Linked DNA regions of Tribolium castaneum. The protein of the gene in region 1 purifies or fractionates together with the protein of each later gene. This does not show direct contact. Links are inferred from orthologs where the notes say so. Each region holds a gene or a part of one and is shown on either strand. Other genes may lie near its edges. The genes, in order: Oseg1, rempA, Tpr2 and Oseg6.

Region 1 (4,001 bases):
TAGGAAAGCCATATCATGCCTGACTTCAGACCCCGCAAGATTCAATTTCGCACAAGTTAGACGGTTATTAAATTTTGAGCCGGAATTAACAGTTGATGGAAAAATTATCCTTCAGAATTAAATAGGCCATCTGTTGTCGGACAAATGGTCTTTTGTGCGCTGACTTGGAAAACGATAATGTCTTGAAATTCGAGCTTTAAAATTCGAAATGTCCAAGGGTTATAAATTCTTGACGACATAATAACACGACAGCCTGTACTGTCTAGTCAATTTATCGATTATTTGAATTTTTAAACACTGCTTGAATTAACAGCTCTTTGAACTAAACTTTCATTAATTCATGCCTAGTTGGAATTTATTCAATTACGCATCAGCTCCTTTGAAAAAATAATGTAAACTGTTTAAACAAAGCTTGTCTTGTAAATTATCTCAAACTGCCATCTAAGACAAAATTTCCGACCATTATACAGGAATGTTTATTTTATTCAAATTGTCGACTAGAGTGCTCCAATTAATTGTTTCTTTCAAAATTCCTCACCGATTCAATTTCAAATAGTCATGAATTCGATTTAAATAAAAGCCATAAATCGTGAGTTCAGTTCGTATTTTTCAAATTACTCGCTTATAATAGAAGTGTAACAAGGTTTATGTGTTGGTTTTCGAGTCGTAAATGCAAATTTTGCGGCTGCTCAACGATGTCAATGCGTCCTTTGAGGAAGGAAAAGCCTTGTTGCGAAACACATTCCGGGCTCTAATTTTCCGGAATACTATTATTATAAGCGAAGTCTTATTACGTTTTTACCCATTTCTCTGATTCAAAAATAACGAAACGAGATTTCAACGCAAACGAGGTGTTTTCACAACGACAAGAACAAGGAAAAACTAATTAACGATTTAATTAATTTACAAAAATTATGATTTTTTAATCATAGCACGGATAAAAAATGATAAAAAATATTATCTGTGCTTTGCTTTTAGTCTCAGCGATACGAACTAGTATTTGGATACTAGTCATAAGTGGTATTAATACACAAAACTCAATTTTAACAATTTTTTTTACACCACTTTCTTTTCCTCAAAATTGCGCCTGGTTGTTAGACTATTGCATAGACATATTGCATTGCTGGTTGCCCGATTTGACGGTTGGCAACAGGTGTTACCACGGTAACCCGGCTTGTTATTGTACACAAACGTCAAATACCAATTTTAATTTTCCAATATTTGCAAAAAAGTCTGAAAAAAAATGCGTTCGGTGCCAAAATGGGCCGACAAAATCCAAGACAACGAAAAAAAGGGCCAGACGTGAGTACGTTCATTTTATCAAACTTTTTGCTTGATAGCCCTTTTAGGATTTACGACTTGTGTTTTAATCCTGATGGGAGTCAGTTGATTGTGGCGACCGGTAATCATGTCCTAGTTTACGATACTAGTGACGGTAGCCTAATTCAGACCCTCAAAGGTCACAAAGATAAGGTTCATGCGGTTTCTTATGCAAAAAACGGGCTTAAATTTGCAAGTGGTAGTGCAGACAAGACTGTGATTATTTGGTCGAGTAAACTTGAAGGGTTACTGAAGTATAGTCACAGTGACTCGGTTCAGTGTATTTTATTTAACCCATTGTCCCACCAATTGGCTTCTTGTGCCCTCACTGACTTTGCGTTCTGGAGCTCGGAACAGAAAGCCGTACAAAAGCACAAAACCAATGTTAAGATAAACGCCTGTTCGTGGACTAACGACGGGCAGTATTTGGCTTTGGGGCTCAATAATGGGGTTATTTCAATCAGGAATAAACTAGGGGAGGAGAAAGGGAGGATTGAGCGGCCTAATAGCCCCGCAATTTGGGCCCTGTCTTGGAGTACGTGTAAGGAGGACCAGACCGATGTTTTGTGTGTGGCTGATTGGAATAAAACTTTGGCTTTTTACACACTTGGTGGGAAATTGGTCGGAAAGGAACGAAATATCGGTTATGAGGCCTTGAGGATTAATTATTTCCCCAAAGGGGAGTACATTTTGATCAGTGGACTTAACAAAGCTTGTGTGATGTACACTAAAGATGGGATAAGACTTGACGTCATTGGGGACCAACAAAACGCATGGGTTTGGTGTTGTGCGGCTCATCCTTCTGGTAATTTCGTTGTGATGGGGTGCCAAGATGGTACAATAGCCTACTATCAATTAATCTTCAACACTGTTCATGGTCTGTACAAGGAACGATACGCATTTCGTGAAAACATGACCGATGTTATTATACAACACTTGATAACCGAGCAAAAAGTTCGCATCAAGTGCCGAGATTTGATTAAGAAAATTGCGATTTATAAACATCGACTTGCTGTAAGTTTAAAAAAAAAACTGCGAACATTTTTCGAATTATTTTTTTAGGTCCAATTGCCCGAAAGAGTTGTAATCTATGAGTTGTATTCGAATGATGCAAATGATATGCATTATCGGGCGAAAGAGAAAATAACACAAAAATTGGACTGTAGTCTTTTGGTTGTGTGTACGGAACATTTGGTTGTTTGTCAGGAGAAGAAATTACAAAGTATGTTTTTTTCGGGACAAAATGAGAAAGAGTGGAATTTTGAGAGTCCAATTAGGTATATTAAAATCATTGGGGGGCCACCGGGCAAGGAGGGAATGATTTTGGGGCTTAAAAATGGACAGGTATGTGTAATAAAAACTGTATCTTTAACATTTTTCTAGTTTGTCTGAGATATTTTTTAAGCATAGGTATGTAAAATGTTCCGGGAAATCGATGGGTTTCAAGAAAACCGCAAAATTTGTGATAGTTTTCAAGTCATTAATAAAAATTAGTTTTATCATTTATTTGATTTGATTTAATTAGTTTTTAACAGTTTTTAGTTCAAAAAACGTGCATAATTGCTCGATAAGGGCACATTTCGTGGATTTATTGGCTTATTCTTGATGAAATTTTACGAAACGATCGTGTTTCGAACTAAAAAATTTACCGAGATGAGCAAAAATACTTTGATCTTGAACTTCTCTCTTTGAATTAATTGTTCAATAAACGAAACATTTTTTTGTACTTGTAAAAAACCAAAATTAAAATCCAAATAATTAAAAATTTGTTTTGGTATGAAAGTGTACCCCAACCAATGGGTTTTTTAGGTTTGGGAGGTACATTTAGACAACATCCACCCCCTACTCAAGGTGACAGTTAACGGTGGTATCCGTTGCCTTGACTTGAGCCAGAAAAAATCCAAATTGGCTGTAGTTGACGAAACGGGGCTTTTGCAAGTTTTTCACTCAAAAACCGGTGAATTATACTACCAAGAACCAGGAACAAACAGTGTGGCTTTCAATAATTTATACGAAGATATGGTCGCATTCAGTGGCAATAATTCACTTGCAATAAAAGTATTGGATTTTCCAGCCCATCGCCAAAAAATGATGGGTTTTGTTGTGGGTTTATCAGGAGCGAAAGTATTTTGTTTGAATGGTGCAGCAATGGTCACACTTGAATTACCATTAAGTGCTCCCATGTATCAATATATTGATAAGAAAATGTTTGATGAAGCTTACAAAGTTGCTTGTTTAGGTGATTGTTTTTTTTGGGCTTGTGATTTTATCAGAGTTAATGATTTTTATTTAGGTGTGACGGATGGTGATTGGGACGAATTGGGTCATTCGGCCTTGGAAGCACTCGAATTTGAAGTTGCAAGACTAGCATTTATTAAATTACAGGATTTTCATTATTTGGAGTTGATTCAAGACTTGCAAGTAATTTTGTGTTTTCTTGTATCGTTAAGTTTTGGTTTAAATTTGTTTCAAGGAGCAACAAAAAAAAGGTGAAACGAATCGTGATGCCATGATTGGTGATATTTATGCACATAGAGGCAGATTAAAAGAGGCAGCAAGGTTGTACCAAAAAGCTGGCCAGGAACATAAAGCTTTAACCATGTATACAGACTTGAGAATGTTTGATTTAGCACAAGTAAGCCGACATTTAAAGTGGTGTATTTATTTTTCCCAAATTTTTG
Region 2 (4,055 bases), on another chromosome or scaffold:
TTGATTTCCACTTTTTGAACTTAAAAAATGAATAAAAAATCAACGCAAAGTCCAATTTAAAAAATTCTGCGCTAAATCCCAAATAATATACTACTTAAACTGTAGTAAAAATTTCGTCACAATCGACTGACGAAATATCGAGATAACTTGTCCAATTACAAGTTCAAAAAAATGGGCGTATTTTTCTTGCCATTTCTAGCAGATTCTTAAACGTGTAAATAATACATCTACTAAAAAACTAGAGATCTCAAGACGGTGTAATGCCTTTCTGTACTTTAGACGTTTTAAAAAAAAATACCTCAACTGATAGGGGGCCCTGAGCGATCAAAATAACGTCCATTGAAACACCAAACCTAAATTCTGCAAGACAGGTTTGTTTCGATTGATTTTCTTGGTGCCTCAGTACTTTGGCAGAGGCATCAATTAGGTTTAAACTAACTAACAAAAGTCTTGCATTTTTTAAAATACTGCCGTCTAGTCTCAATTCAGAGGCGGTTGCATGTGTGAGACAACCTGGCGTTTCAGACCTCAGTAACATAGCCGAGATATTGTAAACGTGCACAGCCATAAACTACAATTATCCGTTATCACGATAGTAAAAACAGTCGCTTATTACTTGTGCAAAAGTGTTGATAAAGTGGGGAATTTTCTTATCTCTGAAATCAAGCGTTTTTCTGCCGTTTCCGGCGACCGCCATAAAGTCGGAACTCTGTCCGATGTCTTTGTTAACTCGCACATCTTTCACAACCAACGTAACTAACTTTGTAAGCTCTGAATTCAAAAAACTACTCTTGATCCCGATCTCATCAATGTGCTAAAACCGAACGTAAACGAAGGCCTGAAATGGGGCGACTCACAATGTTGAAGCCGTTTTTTGATATTTGAATATCACATAATTTCAAGTAGGGCAATTTTATGCTTCCGATTTTGAGCGAAACGTTGTATTTCCGGCGAAACAGCCATGATATGATGTTCCTGAAGCCCCTAAAACACGAGTTATCACGTGACACTCTCTTCCACAACAATTACCATAAAACCACCGAAACTAGGAGGAAAAAAACCACGATAAAAACGAGGAAACCCCCCATTTTCCCCCAAAAAAACAGTTTTTTTCACAACACCCACATGACAGCTAAATATTTACGTCATCTGTCAGTTTTGAAAAGCAGTGGCGCCAAACGAACCGTACAAAAACCCCACGGCGTCCTAGCAACGCCATGTAAACAAGGAAAAAATGACACTTTATTTTGAAAATCCGGTGAGTTTTCCGGAGCCGGGCTCGATTTCCCTGAACGGGGTCTGGCACCCGAACTCGGCCCTTCTGGCCGTGGCCAGTTTTTCGCAAGATAAGGGCGGTTACGTGACGATTTTCGACGAGTTGGTAAGGTTATCGAACTTTTTTGCCCAGCTGATGAGCTTGTAGGGGGAGCCTTTGAGCGATATAAACTACCCCGTACACCGCAGTTTTCAAGTAACGGCCCTTGCCTGGCACCCCGAGCGCCATGTCCTGGCCACCGGGTGGGAAAACGGCGAGTTTAAAATCTGGAACGGGGAGAAGGACTTTGCGCTCATTGGGGGGCCGCACAAGGCCCCCATCACGCTGCTGGAGTTCAGCGAAAAGGGGGGCCGGCTTGTGTCGTGCGATTCGGTGAGTGTGCGGGTTTTGGGGGGTTTTTTATAGGGAATTTTTGTCAGGCGGGGTCGCTTGTGGGGTGGAAGGTGGTGGATACTCAGGCGCAGACTGTTATGGTTTTTCATCTGGATTTGAAGGAGTCGATTACGCATTTGACGTTCAGGATTACGATAAAGCCGCATCCGGATTTTGATGTTGAGGGGTTGGCTAAGGCGGCGGTTAATGGGGATGAAAGGGCCCTCGATCTTTTTAGGTCAGGATAAAGGTGGCTCCTTTTTTTATTTTTTTGTTTATTTTAATGAATTGTGCCGGTTTTTGACAATTTTAAAATGAACAACCAACTAAACTAATTTTTAAAAAAAAATTTTTTGTGAAAGAATTAGTTTCCAAGTTATTTTTTCAAATGTTTTGTATCCAATTTTGAGTCAAAAATCCATTCATTTTTAACAAAGAAAGCCAAAAAAGTCACGCTCAAGAGGTTTATCAAAAAAAAAACGGAGAATTTAAAAAAGTAACACAAAAACACATATTTATTAAAAAAGAAAAATATAAAAAATATGGACAATTTATTTTTAAGTATTACAATGAATATTAAAAACATAAAATGAAGGATCTCGATTGATGGTCTCTGGGAAGTCTCCAGATTACCTGAAATAAAAAAATATTAATTATGTAGTATTTTGTTATGTAAACTCTGTTTATTTTATTTTTTCGAATGTTTTTCAGCTAATTTCTTTTAGGCCAGAAACGCCCAAGAGATTTCGTCAAATAAACTAAAGAATTACTAGAAAAAAGTTAATTAAACAGACATCAGATAATAAATACCTAATTAGAAAAAATGAGAAATAAAAAAATATGGACAGTTTATTTTTAAGTATTATTCTACAATAAATATTTATATAAGCCGTCAGATTACGTTTAATTAAAAAGATTATTTTGTTAGATAAATTCCAACTAAAGTATAATACAATATAACATAATATTTTCAAATGTACTTCTGCCAATTTTGAGTCAGGAACTCATTTATTTTATTAGGAAGAGATTTTGTCCAAATAAACGGAGAATCACTAGAAAAAAAGTAGCACAAACAAAGACTGAAAAATTACAAAGAACGAAAAATAAAAAAATGTACAATTTATTTTTAAATATTTTTCCATAATAAATGTTAATATTTGTTTCCAGATTACGCCAGTTAAAAAAATATTAAAAATATGTACATTCCAACTAGCAATTTATTTTTGCAGGTCACAAATCAAAACACGTTTTATTTTATGTTTTCAAATGTATTTCAGCTAATTAACGAGTGAGGAACTCATTATTTTTTGTAGAAACAGCAAACAAATAAAAAAGGCTTGAGTTATGTTATTTCAGTGAATTGTGAGTCTTTTATCTCCCTTTTAAGCCAGAAGTGCTCAAGAATTTTGTACAAATCAACTAAAGAATTTTTAGGAAAAAAAATACGTAAATACAAATGCTTAAATAAAATGAATGAATTGATTTAAAAATATGGGCAATTTATTTTTAATTATATTAGTTAAATTTTAAAAATATTGTTTTGTTGTGTAAACCACTAAGTTATTGTTGCAGCCTGCGACTTAAATCACATTTCATTTAATTTTTTTCAATGTATTTCATCCAATTTTGAGCCAGAAACTCATTTATTTTTGTTTAAGCGGTCTTTTAAGCCATAAACGGTTACGAGATTTGGTCATTTAAACACAGACACTAAACTAGGAGTTTTCTAGTTTTGCTTTAAGCCAGGAACGCTCAAGAAACATTTTAGAACAAAAAATTAACCTAAACACAGTTACACAAATAAAAAAGACCAAAAAAAAAAAAATGTGGGCACAATTCATTAACGTAAAAATTTGAAAATTGGGGCTCACGTGCCAAAAATTTCCAGTAATTGGCGTCCGAAGACCACAGCCCGGAAATTCCGTGTTCAGGAGGGTTCTGACAACTTGTCATTTTACGTGGGGACGCAAGTGGGCTCAATTTACTACGTTAATAGCGGGGGCTCGTGCATGGAAGTCTTAAACACGGAAGGGGTGCCCCTTTCTTACATTGTGCACCATCCGAGCAAAGACGCCCTAATTGTCATGATGGAGGGTTTAACAATCGGTCATTTCTCCGTTGATAGTCAAGGCCAGTTAAACGAATTAGCTAAAGTTAAATTAAGCGGAAGGGTGCAAAGTCGCGGTGTTGGAACACAGGGCTTAGTCTGGTGTTCCAACTCCAGTTTGGCGGTTTTAACCGGTGATTTAATCGTCCGCATTTGGGACATTGAAACCAACGATAACTACGTGTTACCCACGTCGTTGAAATTCTACACAAACGACGATAAAAATCGCACAGTTAGTGAAGTTTTCACGTGCTTGGCGTTCTGCAAATTGAACCAAACTCTGTGTGCGGGCACCAACAT
Region 3 (4,131 bases), on another chromosome or scaffold:
TTCATTGCCACTTTCCTTCGTCTTTTTGAGTTCTTTAGCTCTCTTGTAGATGTCCATAGCCTTTTTGTGGTCGGGTGCAAGTCGCAAGACTTGCTGGAAGTGGTTAAAGGCGCTGTCCAAATTATCTTCGTAATAAAGACACATTCCCCGTACGTAAATCGCATCAGCGTTTGTTTTGTCCAAATGCAAGGCCGTGTTGGCGATTTCTTGCGACTCCTGGTATCGTCCCAAGAAAGCCAAACATTCGGCTTTCATTATTTTGTAACGTGTGCAAGTTGGCGCTTCATCCAAACACCTATCCATGCAGTAAACAACTTTTCGGAAGTCTTTCTTTTCCATTGCTTTTGCTGCCTCTGTTTCGAACTGTCTCAGTTTTTCGAACGAACGAGTTTCATTGTTGATGTTGGCGTTCTTGTCAAGCAGATTGATCTGTTTGATGGCATTTTCTGCTGTTGTAAGGTCGCCAAGGGCTATAGCGCATTTCAATATTCGAATGTAGCCTTTGCTGAATGCGGGATCGATGGTTATGGATTTGCGTGCATCCTCCAATGCTTCTTGAAAGTTGTTCAACATCATGTAACATGCCGAGCGGTTCGAGTAATAGGCGGCGGTTTCGGGGCATAGTTCGATGGCTTCGGTGTAGAGATTGAGGGCAGATCGGTATTGCTTGACTTTGTATAATTGATTGCCATTTTCTTTTTTCAATTCGGCAAGCCTGAAACAAGCACGGCTTTCACAGGAACAACGCAACTTAAGTGTGACCAGAATGAGTGAAAATTGCCTTTTAATGGAGTGAATCACGCTATGAAGACAGAAAATTATAGGAAAGAACTGGGGAAAAAACGAATATTAACAATGATATAACGGAAGTTCACATAACTACCAACTTATCAAATTTAATAAGAATTTGGCTGAGTAACTAACGATGTTAACAACCTATTAAAAACAATTAAAAATAACGACCCAAACAAACATAAAAAGCTTACTCTACTGTAAACTTTTTCTCTCATTTTCTTCTGTCCGTTTTAGTTTGGTAGTAGTTTGCCATAAGACAAAGAATAAAATATTATTTTACCTAGTGCGGGGTCTGAATACAAAATATCTTAAATAATTAAGTAGGATAGAAAGGACTTGAGGCATTAGGAAAAAAGTTAAAGCTGAAATACGAAGAACTATAACTTAGGAGACGAAACGAGATACAAAATCGTACGATTTTCTGAACCCAAAAAAATAGTACGGTATTCGTTTTCAATTAATTTAAATCCAACCAATTGAATAATTACTTGGAGATTTCCATAAGAAACATGAGAAAAAAATATTTTTTAAAGATAAATTAAATGGGAAATTTTATCAGTTTTAATTTTGGTAAGAAGATAAAAGTTGATAGGAGTAACCGTTTCCGAGACAAAAAAAAAACAAAAAATACTTCTTTAACCCCCTCCCCCTCCTCAAGCTCACTCCCCACCCTCGGGAACTTTTGATATAATTCTACCCAAGTGTAAAGAATGCTTTAAAAAAATCCAACTCTCTAAGAATTTCTTTGTTTAATTTAACTGGGCTAATTCACTAATCTCCGAGACAAGGAGCAACAAACAATATTGCAGAAACAATATCTACACGTGAACCAGTAAATGACCTACCTACCAATATTACCCTAATTTCATGCGATTTGAAACGATACTTCATTAGAAGAAAATATTAACTTTTGTTTTTCTAATTTAGTAAATATTTAATCAATGAATTGATCTGATTTTCATTCGTGACTAAGCAAAAATATAGAACAAACTAGCCAATTAACATGCTAAACTGTGAAAATTTAAGGGCCATAAATCGTTGTTACTATAGCAACAACCAATAAAATTGCTAGATTTCTGATTTTAGGGTGGATTAAATTTTAACAGCCCTTTAAAACTTATAGCATGGACCTCAAAGTCGTAATATTCTGACGAAATAAAAACCTTAGTGGATAAAAATTCGTTACACATCCAGATTAGGGTTTTTTGAATTGGGTTCTCTTCAACTTTGATCACAATCATAGTCACAAATAGAGTTTGTAAATAAATCACATTGTTTTTATCTTATCAAAAACCAACACTCGTGTGGTCAATGTTTATTCCTTCGGTAGGTTACATTTGTCGTTAATAAACAACAAAGATAATCCAATTTAAAAGTGAGAACCTTACAGTTCTTATGCCCATTTATGAGGTAAACAAATTCAAAAACAACACTCACATATTGTGGCAATCCTCAACTTCCATGGTCTTTCTCGTTACAAATTGGTAAAAACCGCGAAAGTGTCACAGTGACAAGTTAGGAGAAATAATGCAAAGGCCATAAAATCCACGTTATAAATAAAATAACTGTCCAAACAAAAGGTTAAATTGTTAATTTGCACGCCGGACCAAATATAAACACTGAACTGTGGAGGAGTGAACCAGTAATTACAAAGGTGTACGACCTTAGATTAAAAATAACCCACGGAAATCGTTAAGACTGCACAAATCAAATTTAAAATCGCACCAAGTGGTTCACTGAAATAACCGAATCAATAGCAATTAATTGTGGGAAATTGCAGTAACAAATGTGAGTCAGTGACACTCGTGTCATCGACATTTCGACGTGAAACCCCACGAAAGCAGTGCTCAAAATCGAGGAATAAATCTAATTGTTGTAAAATAGCACTTACTCGGCTGGATTTTTTGGAATTATCAAATCTTCAGAGTCCATAACAACATCTTCCCCAAAATCTGCCATCTTGCACAAGTTGTGAAACGAGTAAGACCGATTCATCACCGAATTCAAAATTCGTACTGTGGGCATGCGCACTAGCTAATTTGTGACCAATCGATAAATTTTCACCAACGCGGGAATTTTGAAACGAAATGAATGGAAATGCGTTTGACAGTATCGCCTTCAACGCCAACAAATACGAAATCGACATTAAAAACTACTTCGTAACGCGCCAAGAGGACGACAGTACTCAGAGCGACACTTCGGACTCACAAACGGACCAGTACTTGGCCTGTAAAGGAGTTAAACTGCCAACTGCGGAACCACACATTTGCACCTGGGATTATTTAACAAAACCTGAAGTGATCCACTTGATGGGCATTAAGAGTAAACGACTCAAGAGGAATTTCATTGGTAGTAATATTACAATCGTTTAAAATTTGCCAAGTTTTCGTTGCAGAGGGAAAATTGCACAAAAAGCCCAAGGGACTTCCCCGGATCATATTCAGGGAGTTGATGTACTCTGTGACTAAATTCTGCACGTCTGCCAGTTACACCGTGGAACAAACTGGGGCCTTGTTGTCACAGTTCTACCTAACTCATTTATTTTTCACCAGTGTTTTGGATGTTGGTCCTGAAAAATTGTACGAGTATTTTAAAGGACTGCAAATGTGTCATTCTCTACCAGTAAGTGATGGGGGTCAAGTGTGGGTAAAAACTGTATTATTTTTAGTTCCCACCACATAGTATCAAATTGTTTAATTTGGAACAAATTAAGAACAATATGGTTTATTTCTGTAAACTATATCTTAGAAACCTGCCCTTGGTCAGGTTCTTGTGTTTGCCCAATTTTTCCCTATGTGCCCAACACCGCGTACAACCAGACGTCGCTCCACGTAAAAAAGGGAAGAAAAAAGGGAAAGGCAAAAAGGGTAAAAAAGCAAAAAGAAATGATCTATGAAATACATTTATTGAGCTATTCTAATTGTTTTATTCTTTGTTCGAGTTGTGAAACAAGGGTGCTTTGATGTTGGTTCAACTGCTGATGTATTGTAGTGGCTGCACTGTTGAGTGTTTGGACCAAAGCTGCTTGAGCTGTTTGCAAGTTTGGTATTTTTTCCAGTTCAATTAATTCGTCTTTACTCACAAATTTGCCCTCAAATATGGCAGCTAAAGGCATAATTAATTAAAAATAACAAAAACTGGATTATACAATACCTAGTAAGACAAGCTGGGGAAACCTTTTCGTGATTTTTAGCAATTTCTTTACTTCCGGTTGCGGACTAAAGACCATAATGTTTTGCGAGACGTAAAAATCCAAAACCGGTTCAAATTTCGTATCCTTGACTGCGATTTCAAGTGTTTTCTTTCCATATTGTTTAAAAAGCATGTCGCTTTTTT
Region 4 (4,331 bases), on another chromosome or scaffold:
TTGATTACCATTGGGCCCATAGTCATACTGTTGGAACTTTCCGTCATATTTGATTTCCTGCGCGTAATGTAGGACTGTTTTGGTGGAAGATCCTGCAGGATCATGACTCAAAACAACCGGCAAGAGCTCCTCATTGAACTCCTCTTTATCAAAACCACACAAAGTGAAAATAACGTCTTCGCAAATTTCCTTATCGATTTTCAACAACTCGCAATCGTACCCCAAAAACTTCATTATTTTACTGTTGGGCAGAAATTGATTCAGACCCAAATATCGCGCCAGCCATTCGAAATCGTAAGCAAAGGGCGACAAATACCGAATTGGGGACTTCACATGCGTCATATAAGCCACCGGTGCTAGGGCTACCATCAGTTTTACGTTTTTGGCGGCTTGTGGTTTAGTTGAAGCCAAAACGAAAAACATTGTGGTCCCCATCGAGTGCCCCACGTAGATTATTTCGCCCGGTTTGTTTGTTGTGTTACTGACGTAGTAGAGTGCAGCTGGGAGATCATAAACTCCCATCTCGTGCCAGCTAAAGTTCCAATATTGGGGGCTTTCGATCGGTAGAGTAACATGAGCTTTGGAGTAAGTGTTACCTCGAGCGTTACCCATCCAGACGTCATACCCGGCATCGGCCAATATAAAACCTTATGAAACCGTAACTCTTGGATCAAAAATCTGAAAGTACGAACCTAGGGAGTTATTCCCTGCCGTTATCCAATCGGCGCTACTCGAAAGCAGCCCGTGTTGGAGAAAGACAGGTTGGCCCCCACGTTGGCCGCTCTTAGGCCCTGGGATGCGATGAATTGTGAGGATGTAGCCGTCTTCCGTTGTGACGTAGTGAGATTCGGCCGGATAGCCATGTCTTCGGGCGATTTGGGGCTGCGGGCGTTTTAATTGGTGTTAAATGACGGGATTACTACTTACTGTATCTAAATCGGCGTCCGGATTGTAAGGACAAGCCGAGAGGTTTTCAAACGAACATTTGACACTGTTTGTAACGTTTTCACAACGAAAAATTGGTAAAAATAGGACGAGGAGTAAAAATCGATGCATCGCAAAGACGATGACAATTAACCTAAACTTTGGACGCAACAGAACCAGTTTTACGGTTCAAGTCTGCCAAACTGAATAGCTAATGAGTTTTTTCAATGGTTTAAAATAATTCTGCATTTAAAAACGATAGCCCCACGTGAGTCATGCAGAAGTGTAATTTCATTGGTTTTTACTCACCAAGGCCGCTCTATCACTGACGTGAGGTCCAAAGTCGGGAAAATCACTCTATTTGTTGTGATTAGCTAATTTTCGTTAAACCTTTATCTATTTTTAAACAAACTAAAAACACAATTGTGACTTGGTTTGAATTTTGCGCCGCCATTTTTGTTTGGTGATTTCACGGTAACTTGATGCATTTACTTCAAAGCAAAATGCAACTTAAATCATACAGTAAGAGAGACTTAAATTAATGCAGTTAAATTACAATTACATATAATTATCTTGTGCACGTCGATGGATCGTTTCAGTTTCACTGGAATAATCTCAAAAATTGAGTTTTTGTCAAATTAAAAAACCAGATTTTGAATCCTCATGTTGGCGATATGGGTGTTTGGCGTCTGTCGAATGTCAAAATGCTTTTTCATCAATAACAACAATGTTTGTATCGTGTTTTAAACATTAAACGCATTGATTATTCAAAAAATGGGAAGCGAAAAGGTATTTCCACCCCTTTTCCCTAAAGCAACTCCTGCATGTTGCAATTTTTCCCGGTCGTTTATAACCTATACAAACAACCCCTTTCTAGCTCTTGTTCCGCTTGGAACAGCCCCATGGCACCGGTGATATTTACACGACATGGCAAAATGGCTCTGGCATGTATCTTGCAACGACTGGGATCGACTGTATGGTCAATATTTTCGACCGTTATGGACAAATCCAGGACCGTATCCGCTTGCCCAGGTGCCCCATTCCTTTCAATTTTCCATTTAATTAAACCCAAAATTGCAGTCTGTGCACCGGTTTTGGGTGGGACTCGGACGGTGATCTCTTGGCGGTAATTTGCCAATCACCTCAACTCACACTGTGGGATGCAAACACCCAGAAAAAGATTCAAATTGATGTGAGATTGAAGGACCAAATGTCGTGCGTGATTTGGGCCAAGACCGCCCCCATGCTGGCCGTGGGGACGGTCAAAGGAAACATATCTATTTATAATCACAACACATCAAAGTTAGTTGTTTTTTTGTTGTTTGTTTTTTTAATTGTCGGTTCTAGACGCACTCCTGTTATTGGCAAGCACGCGAAAAAAATCACGTGTGGGGCTTGGAACACGGAGAATTTGCTCGCACTAGGGTCTGAGGATAAAACAATTTCTATCAGTAATGTAGACGGGGATACGCTCAGAGTGATCAATTTGCGGGCAGAGCCGTCTGAAATAAATTTTTCGGAAATGAAGCTCGACGAGCGCATGGGGGGCGAAAACACTGTAATTTTTTCAAGTTTCCGCTGATTATTTCGCGTTAATTGTTAATTCCAGGTCAGCGTAATTGTGGGAAAGCGCACTCTCTATCTTTACAATTTGTTAGACCCTGACAATCCCATTGAATTAGCATTTCAGCAGCATTATGGCTCTATTGTTACGTATAAGTGGTTCGGAGATGGTTATATTTTAATCGGCTTCAACGCCGGTTATTTTATTGCCATCTCCACCCACATTAAGGAAGTGGGCCAGGAGTTATTCCAGGTCCGGAATCACAAAAACACCCTCACTGATATTACAATAAACGACAAAATCGGAAAAGCCGCATCTTGTGGCGATAACAAGTATTAATCCAACATGGCAGGTCAGGTCACTACTTTATGATTTTTTAGTGTTAAAATACACGACTTGAGCAACCTCCAAGAAACCTCAAGTGTCTTAACTTTGTCACAGGAGGCCGGTTTAGAGAGGATAAGTTGGAGTGTTGACGGTCAGTTGTTTTCAGTGTGTACACGTGGTGGTTCTTTGAACGTCTATTTGTCACACGTGCCGTTACTAACTTCAGTCTCAACGCCTAGAATAGCGATTCTGTCAAGTCTGACTGAAATCAGTCTTTACAACTATTCCTCAGAAAAAGTAGTCACGTTAAAAAGTGAAACTAGTAAAATAAATAGCTTGTTTTAGACCAAATACAAACCGATTCCTATAACACTCGAAACGGAGCCTAGTTTTATCGCCGTGGGCCCGTATCACATAGCCGCCGGTTTAAATAACCGGGTTTGGTTCTATGATTTAACGCGCCCCCAGCCGGGAGTGGATGACGCCCCCTTAATGCTCAAAGACCGACAGTACTTAGGGGGCGTCACTAGCATCAAACTCAATCCTGAATATGCTTCTGTTTTATTTGAAGGAAAATTACAACTACACATGGTGATAAGTTTGTGTAGTTTTTTCCTTTGTTAATTTTTTACTACAGATTGAACAACCGGAGGTTTGCCATGAGGATCGCGAAACTATAATGTTTCCGAACGCAAATTCACCAAATTTATTCATAACTTGCCATTTTTTAACAACCGATTTTTTAATTTACGGCACCGATATGGGAAATATTGTTTATTTCCACGTCGAAGAGTGGGCTTTGGCCCACGAATATAAGCATGAAGTTGGCATCGTGAACGTTTTCGCCGACCCTGCCGGCACTAGATTAGTTTTTGTTGATATTAAAGGCCAAGGTTACGTCTACAATGCTGTAAGTAATTGTTACGGCACTAAACATAATTTGGAAACAAACAAACACAATCTGGGGCCCGTTGAATAATCTATTTGTTCTTTGAGGTGATAAATGAAGTTGTACTCATACCAAACCTACCAAATAAAGTATTAGGAGTCACGTGGGATAGCAATATAAACGATCGCAACATTTTCATAGTGTACGACCAACACGATATTTTCACCTATGTCTACGTCCGATACTCAATTAATGGTTGGTAATTTAGGTGTGAAAATGTAAAAACACCCAATTTTAGGTTCCTCGGTCCAAAAAGTGGGCCAAACCTCGCTTGTAACCAAACAAATCCCTCTATTAATGTACTCGGGTGAAGTAATATCAGCCACACCTGGCGGTCAGATAACTCAACTAATTTTAAACACCCATGACTCGCCTCAAATCGGCGTTAACGAACATGACCAAACGATCCAAGAAACCAATTTTAACAAACAGATCGCATTGTATAGGTAACCACCCAGTCGTGTTCTATTTGTTAATAACTTTATATAGATTTTCGGCCGCTTGGACCACTTGCGAGACGCTCAAGTCGGAGGAATTGTGGCGAAAACTCGCAGTTGAAGCGATGAA

What was found.
Region 2: the proteins of Oseg1 (region 1) and rempA purify together in Homo sapiens (affinity purification with mass spectrometry; 4 studies listed by BioGRID and IntAct, counting the BioPlex papers as one, with this or other methods). This does not show direct contact. The link is inferred for Tribolium castaneum from reciprocal best matches to the Homo sapiens genes IFT122 and IFT140.
Region 3: the proteins of Oseg1 (region 1) and Tpr2 purify together in Homo sapiens (co-immunoprecipitation; 3 studies listed by BioGRID and IntAct, counting the BioPlex papers as one, with this or other methods). This does not show direct contact. The link is inferred for Tribolium castaneum from reciprocal best matches to the Homo sapiens genes IFT122 and DNAJC7.
Region 4: the proteins of Oseg1 (region 1) and Oseg6 purify together in Homo sapiens (affinity purification with mass spectrometry; 4 studies listed by BioGRID and IntAct, counting the BioPlex papers as one, with this or other methods). This does not show direct contact. The link is inferred for Tribolium castaneum from reciprocal best matches to the Homo sapiens genes IFT122 and WDR19.

Annotation. Positions count from the first base shown.
Region 1 is NC_087394.1:36,927,785-36,931,785, reverse strand, and holds the start of Oseg1 (intraflagellar transport protein 122 homolog), read left to right. Parts: upstream 1-1,143; 5' UTR 1,144-1,243; coding exon 1,244-1,302; intron 1,303-1,349; coding exon 1,350-2,334; intron 2,335-2,382; coding exon 2,383-2,664; intron 2,665-3,129; coding exon 3,130-3,559; intron 3,560-3,613; coding exon 3,614-3,741; intron 3,742-3,793; coding exon 3,794-3,955; intron 3,956-4,001. UniProt on the Homo sapiens protein: As a component of the IFT complex A (IFT-A), a complex required for retrograde ciliary transport and entry into cilia of G protein-coupled receptors (GPCRs), it is required in ciliogenesis and ciliary protein trafficking.
Region 2 is NC_087399.1:1,792,282-1,796,336, reverse strand, and holds the start of rempA (intraflagellar transport protein 140 homolog), read left to right. Parts: upstream 1-1,234; coding exon 1,235-1,381; intron 1,382-1,423; coding exon 1,424-1,648; intron 1,649-1,695; coding exon 1,696-1,886; exon of another isoform or gene 1,887-1,898; intron 1,899-3,536; coding exon 3,537-4,055. Other genes in the region: hob (protein hobbit), read right to left, coding at 299-571, 617-814, 858-984, 1,030-1,088. UniProt on the Homo sapiens protein: Component of the IFT complex A (IFT-A), a complex required for retrograde ciliary transport and entry into cilia of G protein-coupled receptors (GPCRs).
Region 3 is NC_087398.1:7,331,324-7,335,454, forward strand, and holds the start of Tpr2 (dnaJ homolog subfamily C member 7), read right to left. Parts: upstream 2,821-4,131; coding exon 2,687-2,820; intron 2,371-2,686; exon of another isoform or gene 2,259-2,370; coding exon of another isoform or gene 2,233-2,258; intron 716-2,232; coding exon 1-715. Other genes in the region: uncharacterized protein LOC103313090, read left to right, coding at 2,883-3,144, 3,191-3,417, 3,464-3,691; mRpL10 (large ribosomal subunit protein uL10m), read right to left, coding at 3,707-3,900, 3,949-4,131. UniProt on the Homo sapiens protein: Acts as a co-chaperone regulating the molecular chaperones HSP70 and HSP90 in folding of steroid receptors, such as the glucocorticoid receptor and the progesterone receptor.
Region 4 is NC_087402.1:3,493,262-3,497,592, reverse strand, and holds the start of Oseg6 (WD repeat-containing protein 19), read left to right. Parts: upstream 1-1,503; 5' UTR 1,504-1,698; coding exon 1,699-1,713; intron 1,714-1,801; coding exon 1,802-1,956; intron 1,957-2,004; coding exon 2,005-2,482; intron 2,483-2,533; coding exon 2,534-2,820; intron 2,821-2,868; coding exon 2,869-3,112; intron 3,113-3,160; coding exon 3,161-3,406; intron 3,407-3,452; coding exon 3,453-3,725; intron 3,726-3,811; coding exon 3,812-3,959; intron 3,960-4,002; coding exon 4,003-4,210; intron 4,211-4,253; coding exon 4,254-4,331. Other genes in the region: lipase 3, read right to left, coding at 1-647, 693-882, 928-1,056. UniProt on the Homo sapiens protein: As component of the IFT complex A (IFT-A), a complex required for retrograde ciliary transport and entry into cilia of G protein-coupled receptors (GPCRs), it is involved in cilia function and/or assembly.